Oryctolagus cuniculus: one gene and its partner. The protein of the gene in region 1 binds, or shares a complex with, the protein of each later gene. Links are inferred from orthologs where the notes say so. Each region holds a gene or a part of one and is shown on either strand. Other genes may lie near its edges.

Region 1 (4,535 bases):
TCTTCTCCCTCTCTGCATCAGGCGTTGGAGAAGGCAGGCAGCTCAGAATATCAAGAAAGCCTCTGAGCATGGCTGCAGGTGCCTAGCTGTCAGAGATGCACACTCGAAGCCATCTGCATTCTTAAATTACAACATCATACGTTCACATACTTTGGTGTTTAATCAAGGAGTACCTTTGAGAACTGGCCCTGTAACATCATTTTCTGAGTTATATACGAATGAGAATCAAAGAATAAGCTGACAGAGTTAGATCTTCAATGTTCAAAGGTACTACTTAAGTCACAGATTTCTTCACCTTGCTCAGCATAAAATTTTAACAAGAAAACCAAAATCGATGGTTGAAACATTCATATTCCCCAATATCCTCTAAAACAATTCCTCAAAGTAGGGCCAGGGGCCCCTGGGTAGTGCAGGATCCTTCCTGGGGTCTGTGAGGTCAACACTATTTTTATAATACTACTAAGCTTTCCCTTCTTCCTCACTTTCATTCCCTCATAACTACACAGTGGGCTTTCCCAGAGGCTATGTGATCTCACAACTGAACGCAGAAGTAGGAACCAGAGTCCAGCTGATCGTCTATGGAGCCAAGCAGGGGCTGGTAGCATGGCCCAGCAGGTTAAGCCACCACTGGCATCCCAGATGGGTGCTGGTTCCAGTCATGGCTGCTCCACTTCCAATCCAGCTCCTTGGGAATGCGCCTGGCAAAGTAGCAGAGAGACTTGGACTCTTCCCACCCACAAGGGAACCCAGATGAAGTTCCAAGCTCCTGTTTTCAGCCTGGCCCAGCCTTGGCTGCTGTAGCCATTTGGGGAATGAACCACCAGTGGATGAAAGATCCGTCTCTCTCTCTCAATCTCTCCCTCTCCTAACTCTGCCTTTCAAACAAGTAAATCTTTTTAAAAAGATGTGCAAAAATATGAAACAATGCTGCTGCTCTTTTATTTTGGGGGAAGATCATTACATATTGGTGGTTTAATGGATTTAGTTTGGGATGAATTAAAGATTTTAGAATTTTAACTTTTTCTTAATTTTTGTTTATTCACTTATTTGAGTGGCAGACAGAACTCCGATCTGCTGGTTCACTCCTCAAATGCCCACAATGGCCAGGGTTGGGCCAGGCCAAAGCCCAGCCACGAACTCCATCCAGGTCTCCCACATGGGTACAAGGACTCAGCTCCTTCAGTACACCCGCTGCTGCCTCCCACAGTACACATCTGCAGGAAGCTGGGGCTGGGAGCACAGCCAGGATTCAAATTCTTTTTTTTTTTTTTTGACAGGCAGAGTGAACAGTGAGAGAGAGAGAGAGAAAGGTCTTCCTTTTCCGTTGGTTCATCTCCAATGAAGATCTGAAGCCAGGAGCCAGGTGCTCCGCCTGGTCTCCCATGCGGGTGCAGGGCCCAAGCACTTGGGCCATCCTCCACTGCCTTCCCAGGCCACAGCAGAGAGCTGGACAGGAAGAGGGGCAACCGGGACAGAATCCGGCGCTCCAACCTGGACTAGAACCCGGGGTGCCGGTGCCGCAGGCCAAATTCACTCTTCAACACGAGACACAGGTGTCTTAACCACTAGGGCAAATACCCATCACAAGTTTTAATTTCTAATGCGGTATCAATAAATGTAAACCATTTAACAAAAACTCTTTGGGAATCAATTTTTAGAGGTTTCAGACACCAAAATATTTGAGAATCACTGCCCTAAAGTATGCTCAGAACATAACAAAGAAGTACTGAGTTTCCCAAAGGGATCATTCTAGTCTCCTAAAATAATAAAGAACCCAAGTGTTAAGTTTTTTCTTCCTGATACTAGAGAAAAGTTCTACAGAGTTACACAGTGATCAAAATCTTTAATTTGGAAAAACTAGTAATACTTTACAAATGAATTTGATAAGCGTATTCTATCTGATGCTGTACACTGGAGATACATACTTCAGAGAAAGATCTACACGGGGGAGACTGTTAAGTACAGTCTAGGGCCAGCACTGTGGCACAGTAGGTTAAGCCACGGCCTGCAATGCCAGCGTCCCATACTGGAACCAGTTCTAGTCCCAGCTGCCTGCTAATGCTCCTGGGAGAGCAGTGGAAGAGGGCCCAAGTGCTTGAGTCCCTGCCATCAATGTGGGAGACTCAGCTGAGGTTCCTGGCTTTGGCCTCCACAGCGCTGGCTGTTGTGGGTATTTGGGGAGTGACCCAGCAGATGGAAGATTTCTCGTTTCGTTGTTCTTTTTTTAAGATACATTTATTTATTTGAAAGGGAGAGTCACAGAGAGGCGAGAGGGGGAGAAGAGGGGAAGGGGGAGGTCTTCCATCCGCTGGTTCACCCTCAAATTGGCTGCAATGGCCGAAGATGTGCCGATCCAAGGCCAGGAGCCTCTTCCAGCTCTCCCATGGGGGTGCAGGGGCCCAAGCACTTGGGCCATCTTCCGCTGCTTTCCCAGGCCACAGCAGAGAGCTGGATCAGAAGTGGAGCAGCTGGGACACAAACCAACACCCAAATGGGATGTCAGCACTGCAGGCGGCGGCCTTAGCCGCTACATCACCCTATAGGACCCTCTTGTTTCTAATTCTGCCTTTCAAATAAACAGATCTTTAAAAAAAACAACAGTTTGACCTTAAGGAAATTTCCTGATACATGAATATCTGATTTGCCCTTTTAAACGACAAACTATTTCATTAATTCTTTTTCATTTGGCACAGAACGCACAGCTCAGCCTTTCTTTGATAGCTCAGCTTCACCATTAGAAACAGCAGCTGTTGTGCTAAACTGAACGTGGTGATTACACCCCCCCCCCCAGCCGAGAGCAGACGCGGGGGGGCAGCCCCCCCCCCCCTTAGGCCGAGGGCACCGGCGGGCGCTCCCCGCTCTCCTGACCTCGGCTCAGGTGCCGTGCGTGCCCTTTCCTCCCATTCCCTGTGCCTCAGGATCACAACACCTGTCACCCACTCCTAGTTTTTGCTTCTTTTGTAACAAATCGACTTTTAAAGGGTTATAACTTCTCTACAGCTACCTGCATGCTGACTTACGTTAGGAGGAAACTCCTGATGCCCGAACAACACTCAAATCGTGGGAACTGTTCACATCTCACCTGACCTGATCACGCCCATCCAGCCAGAAGACGGCAGCGTGTCTTTTCGCCTATTCTAATCCCCACATACACAGACACCAGGCATGCCATCTCAGCGTGCGCTCCACGGCAGAGGAAGCACTGAATGTGGTGACTGACTACCTCTCCCCGCCTCGGCCACGGAAGACGCACTAACCATTTTTACTAAAATTATACAAATACCTCAAATGTGTAGCTTTACCAGTACACTCAGAGTTCTACTAACTATACCAGTTTACAGCTGAGAAAATAAAACTAAGAATTAAAGGGTCCACAACACTGATAAGTAACGGAACAGGATTTAGTTTTTTTTTGGTTGGGTCAAATGCTCCTTCCAGTGGAGCACAGCTTCGACCCCTCAAGCCGGCCCTCTCACAGGGGACAGGGAGCGGCCGGCCCAAGACCACAGCAAGAGCTGCTAGCACATCCCGACGTCCTCACACGAGCGTGCTCCTGTTCCTCTGACGCCTTCCGCTCTTGCCGGGGAAACACTCACCTTCAACATCTTCTTGTTCGCTGTGTTCTTGCCACACTCCCTCCTCAGCTGTTCACTCATGGCTTGCAGCTCTCTTCCAAAGTGGATCATTCTTTCAATGGCAGCCTGACTTCCGCCACATAACTGGCGTCTTAACTGGTTTGAGTCAACTTCTGCAAACCAAACAAAGAAGTGCTTCACTACTTTATGGAATGGAACACACGTAAGAAATGAACACACATTTCTGATCCATTTTAGACCTCCCAGTCAGTAAGCACTCCCCAACATGTCACCTACACACACAGACTCGTGCTCAACCGAGCAGGGAACTCTGCAGCTAATCATCACACTGGATCCAGAGCTCGGGAGTCTGGGATCCAGGGTGCTGCGCGCAGCCCAGAGGCAGGGCTACCCGTGCAGTGTCAGGATGGACCCAGTGTCTCACGAGTGTCACCAAGAGGCAGGGGCCAGTCTCTAAAACCACATGAAGAGGGGCCGGCGCTGTGCCATGGTAGGCTAGGCATCCATCTGTATGCTGCCAGCTCGAATCCCGGCTGCTCCTCTTCTGATCCAGCTCCCTGCTCGTGGTCTAGGAAAGCAGCGGAGGATGGCCCAGGTGCTTGGGCCCCTGCACCCACGTGGGAGATCTGGAGGAAGCTCCTGGCTTCAGATCGGCTCAGCTCCAGCCATTATGGCCATTTGGGGAAGTGGACCAGAGGATAGAAAACCTCTCTGTCTCTCCCTCTCTCTATAACTCTGCCTCTCAAGTAAATAAGTAAATCTTAAAATAAAAATTAAAAAATAAAACCACACTAAGCAAAATTAACAAAGAAAAAGAGAGAAGGTAGTAACTGCCTCTCAGGCTGTTTTAACTGACATATAACAGAGGTGGAGTAAAGTGTTCCTGGAAGCTAAGAGAGGCTAAATGATTCCAATAGAAACACAGATTATTATAACACA
Region 2 (4,535 bases), on another chromosome or scaffold:
AAAAAAAAAAAAACTATATAACAAGAACTACAACTTAAATCTGTTTTTTATGTAAGATGTTTTCTTAGGAAATTAATACGTGCTGATTTTTAAAGATTTTAAAAAATATAAAAGCAAGAGGAAAAAATACCATCTGTGGTGACAGTACCTACAGCTAAAACAGTGATTGACCTCTGCCTGAGTCGCCTTTGAGATACGTACATACAGACACATACATATACACACTTTTTTTTTCTTTTTTAAAAAAATAGGATCAAAAGATAACGGTTTTGTTTTGTTTTGTCATCATTTACTCAACTTGAAACATAGAAGTGACCCAAAAGAGATCCTGCAGCCGCTGGTTCACTCCCCAAATGACCCCCAGCAGCCAGGCTGGGCCAGGCCGCAGCCAGGAGCCAGGAGCCCCGCCTGGTGCTTGGGCTGCCCTCAGCTACCTCCCAGGCTGCACTGTTAGCAGGGGGCTTGGTCAGAGCTGAAGGCGGGACTAACACTTGGCACTCTGATGCCGGGCAGGGGCGGGGCATCCCAAACAGCAGCCTAGCCCACTGCACCCCAGTGCCCACCCCAGAAGGGTAGATAGAGGTTTGCACGCTATTTCTAGTCTCCTTTTGTGGCTTAGCCAGTTTCTAGCTTAAGGCGCTGGCCCAAACGCCCCTACTGCCGTGGGGGACTGTGCTCCGCCGGCCCTCACCTGGGGCTGGCAGGCTCCCAACTCCTCCGCCTGGCTCTTTGCTCTACGGATTACTTACAGAGGGCTCCTCTTTATTGTTCTTAGCCTGCGTCTGTCTGTGCGGAGGTGCTCTGGGCATGCGTCCCTCCTAGTCCTTTGGCCCATTGCTGGCCGCGCTCACGGGCTGGAGTCCAGTGCTCTGCCCCTGAGTGCAGGGCTGCGGCAGCGGCTGGAGGGTCTGACCCAGGCTCCCTGGCCATTACTGGGCTTTAGCCACCCCATCAGGAGCCAAGGCTGCAGCTGGCAAGGCTGTGACCAGGTGGGCACCCTGGGCGCCCGCAGCCAGCTCAGACACCAGGGCCCATCACCATCCTCTTTTTGCTTCCAGGGCAAGTTTCTGGCTTTTTACCAGTACGCAAAATCATTTAATTCAGATGACTTCGATTATGAAGAGCTGAAGAATGGAGATTATGTCTTTATGCGATGGAAGGTGAGTTCCCCCTCCCCCAGCCCGTGATCTCTGATGCCTCCTGTGGGCCAGCGCTGGTATTGCACCCCACACGCCTGCTCTGCCCCAGGGCGTGCTCTGGTGGAGTGCTGGGTCTCCCATGGCTCTGGTTAGTGGTTGGCTGGTGAACGGTCCTGGGTGCACGTGCTGACACTGTTGCATCTTCATCCTCCCCTGCTCTCACCCCAGGAATCCCTTTGAGCCTGCAGGCTGAATCACCCACGTGCACTGTAGATTTGGGGTGGAGCCAGACGTTTCTCTGAGTGTAGTCACCCATTGGACCGCCTTAATGCCATCGGAGTGACTGCTCCCCCCCCCCCCCCCCCGGCCTCGCCACATCCTTTCCCCGGGGCCCTCTGCTCCCCTCCAGCTCAGGAAGTGAGGGACCAGGAATGGAATGTGGGTTTTCCACTCAGCCGCCCTCGGAGCGCTCCGTGTCGGCGCGGCCGTCGCCTGAGAAGTGGCTCTGTGCCCCCTGCCTGGGTAAGCGCGGTCAAGGCTGGGAAGCAAGCTTGTGAAGCTGCACGCAGCTCCCGCTCCTCCTGCTCCCGACCGGGGGGGAACTCGGAGGCCTCACCAGCTCTCGGGCCTGCACCTCAACCAGGGTCCTCATGCACGCCTCCTCTGGGAGAGGGCAGGAGCGTCACTCAGGCCGTCCGTGTTGCCGGGCACAGAGTCCATGCCCAGCCTGCCCCTGTCTAGTGGGACGTGTGCCCGCTGAACCTGTTCAGGGAAGTTTCTTGTGCTCATTTTAAGAACAATTTTTGAAAACTACAATTTTTAGAGGCTGAATAGGGAGGGAGCTGAGGGTCTTAGAATTTTTAAATGGCAATGGAATTGTTCTGTGTCCGAAGGATTTCTTAGGATGACCGACCTGTGGGCCGTGGGCCGTTAACAGCCCCCCCTCCCCCCCCCCCCCGAGGCCTGGGGCCTCCAGCCTTTCTGTCCAAGAGAGCAGGAACCGGGACACAGGCTTTCTGCTGGGCTCCGGCCGGAAACCCACACTCGCCTCTTCTGGAGTGCCCAGAGAGGGTGTCCGCAGGGCTGCTGGCAACCCAGCCACCCTGAGAATAAGCTGCAGGCCCGCAGGTGATGGGAACCTGGCCCTTCCAGGCCGTTCCGTCCGTGCTCTCTGAAGACAGCGGGCAGGCGCTGGTGTTCCCAGTGTTTGGTACTTGTTTGTTTTAAGGTTGTTTATTCGAAAGGCAGAGCTACAGAGAGAGAGAGCTCTTCCACCCACTGGCTCACTCCCCAGTGGCTGCAGCAGGCAGGGCTGGGCCAGCCTGAATGCCGGAGCCCGGAGCCCTATCCGGGTCTCCCACATGGGTGGCAGGGGCCCAGGCCTCAGGCCATCCTCTGGCGACTCCCCAGGCACATTAGCAGGGGACAGGAGACGGTACCCTTTGAGTGGCTGATTCGCGTGAACTCGCGGTGCAGCTTGCCGCCAGAGACCACGTGCTCGTGTTTTTTCTCTTGCGTGTGTTCAGAGCGCCCCGGTGCTGAGCAGGGCGGCACCGGGAGCGGCAGAGGACGCTGCTTGCTAACGGCCCGGCCTTTGTCTGCCTGCAGGAGCAGTTCCTGGTCCCAGACCACACGATCAAAGACATCAGCGGTGCTTCCTTTGCCGGCTTCTACTACATCTGCTTTCAGAAGTCGGCTGCCTCCATAGAGGGCTACTACTACCATCGGAGCTCAGAATGGTGAGGCCCCATGGGCCGGGGGTTCCCGCTGGAGGTTGGCTGACCCCCTCACCCCTCCCCCACCCCCAGCTCTCCCCGGCTCATCAAACCCAAAGGAAAAATCTCGGCCCGTGTCTGCGTAGGCTTTGCACTTTATCTGCATGTCGCAGGCCTGTCGCCGTGACCTCAGGGGCTCCTAACGGGCTCGTCCCTCCGCACAGAGCAGAGCAGGCAGGACCGAGAGGCAGAGTCGGGGGAAGGGACTCGTCTCCGACCCCCTGCTGGATGTCCAGCAGGGCTCCGCTCGCTCTCGCTGGCTCCTGTTCTCACTCTTCCCAGGTTGAATTTGTAACTAAGATGTGCTCTAAGCCGGTGTGGGCAGCAGGAAGGGGGTGCCAGCCGCCTCTGTAATTCTGCAGCTCTGTTTTGGGACGTGGGTCCTGCACGCCCCTGCTGTCATGTGAGGCCCTGGTTGACAGCCTCCCCTGTGTCTCAGCCAGGGAAAAGGACAGAGCCCTGAAGTGCTGACCTTTGCCACCTTTTGGGAGACCTTGGTAGCCTCCCTGCTGCACTTTTTTTTTTTTTAAATTGATTGATTGATTTGCAAGGCAGAGTTACAGAGAGGCAGAGGCAGAGGCAGAGAGAGAGAGGGGTCTTCTATCTGCTGGTTCACTCCCCAAATGGCCACAGCGGCAGGAGCTGGGCCAATCAAGAGCCAGGGGCCTCTTCTGGGTGCAGGGGCCCAAGGACTTGGCCCATCTTCCACTGTTTTCCCAGGCCATAGCAGAGAGCTGGATCAGAAGAGGAGCAGCCGGGTCTCGAACCGGCGCCCATATGGGATGCTGGCACTGCAGGCGGTGGCTTTACCCACTACACCACAGCACCAGCCCCCTTCTTGCTGTACTTTCAAGCACCTAGCTGTCCCTAGGGATTGAACCCCTATCCTGAAGCACCTGAAACGTGTGTTGATCCCTTGAGTCGAGTCCCTGAGAGGGCTGTGGTTTCAATGTGAGAAAACACTGCATTTCTCAGCGTAGCCCGTGGTCCCTGGGAACACACTTCGAACTTAACAGAGACTGTGTCCTAAGTTTTGGGTCATACACATGGCCCCCAGCTTGAGGTGAACTTGCCAGAAAAGGGAAATTAACACAGTGCCAGGGGCCTGGTCTTCGTGTCGACGTCACGAACCCAGCGCTACAAGGCTTCTCCCGTTAGCAAGTAGCACTTAACAAAGCGCACCCACGGCCCGAGGTGCACTTGCCGCGAGGCTGAGGGTGGGGGCGCTTTCTCACCCTTCAGGGCCTCCTCTCGATCTCCATGCTCGGCGGCAGCCAGGTCGCACCTGCGAGTAATGAGTGTGTCGGGCTTGCAGCGACTGTGCGGTTCTCGAGCGAGCGTTAAAGCTTGCCCTAGCCCCTTCTCAGAAAGACAGCAGCGTCGCTGAGCCAGCACTCCTGGGCCGTGCCGTCAGGGGCCTCTGGCGCGCTCACGGAGCTGTGCAGGCGCCAGCGTCCGAGCCTTGCCCTGCGCACAAGAGGGAACCCCGCGTACCCCTCAGCCGTCACGCCCAAGCCCGCTACCCCCAGCCCTGGGCCACGCTGCTCCTCCCTCCCTCCCTCCCTCTCTCTCTCGCTCTCTCTCGCTCTCTCTCGGTTCGCCTGTCTTGGTATTTTCTGTA

Evidence for each region.
Region 2: the proteins of RANBP9 (region 1) and glucose-induced degradation protein 4 homolog are in contact, whole or in part, in a cryo-EM structure (PDB 7NSC), measured with the Homo sapiens proteins. The link is inferred for Oryctolagus cuniculus from reciprocal best matches to the Homo sapiens genes RANBP9 and GID4. Residues at the interface, in NP_005484.2 of Homo sapiens: Ser223, Lys224, Gly225, Arg226, Asp227, Gly228, Tyr229, Met230, Gly256, Asp257, Thr274, Phe275, Thr276, Thr277; in NP_076957.3 of Homo sapiens: Leu187, Arg189, Asp194, Glu195, Asn216, Asp218.

Annotation. Positions count from the first base shown.
Region 1 is NC_091436.1:157,009,405-157,013,939, reverse strand, and holds part of RANBP9 (ran-binding protein 9), read right to left. Parts: intron 3,749-4,535; coding exon 3,597-3,748; intron 1-3,596. UniProt on the Homo sapiens protein: May act as scaffolding protein, and as adapter protein to couple membrane receptors to intracellular signaling pathways. Acts as a mediator of cell spreading and actin cytoskeleton rearrangement.
Region 2 is NC_091448.1:66,462,496-66,467,030, reverse strand, and holds part of glucose-induced degradation protein 4 homolog, read left to right. Parts: intron 1-1,058; coding exon 1,059-1,160; intron 1,161-2,747; coding exon 2,748-2,878; intron 2,879-4,535.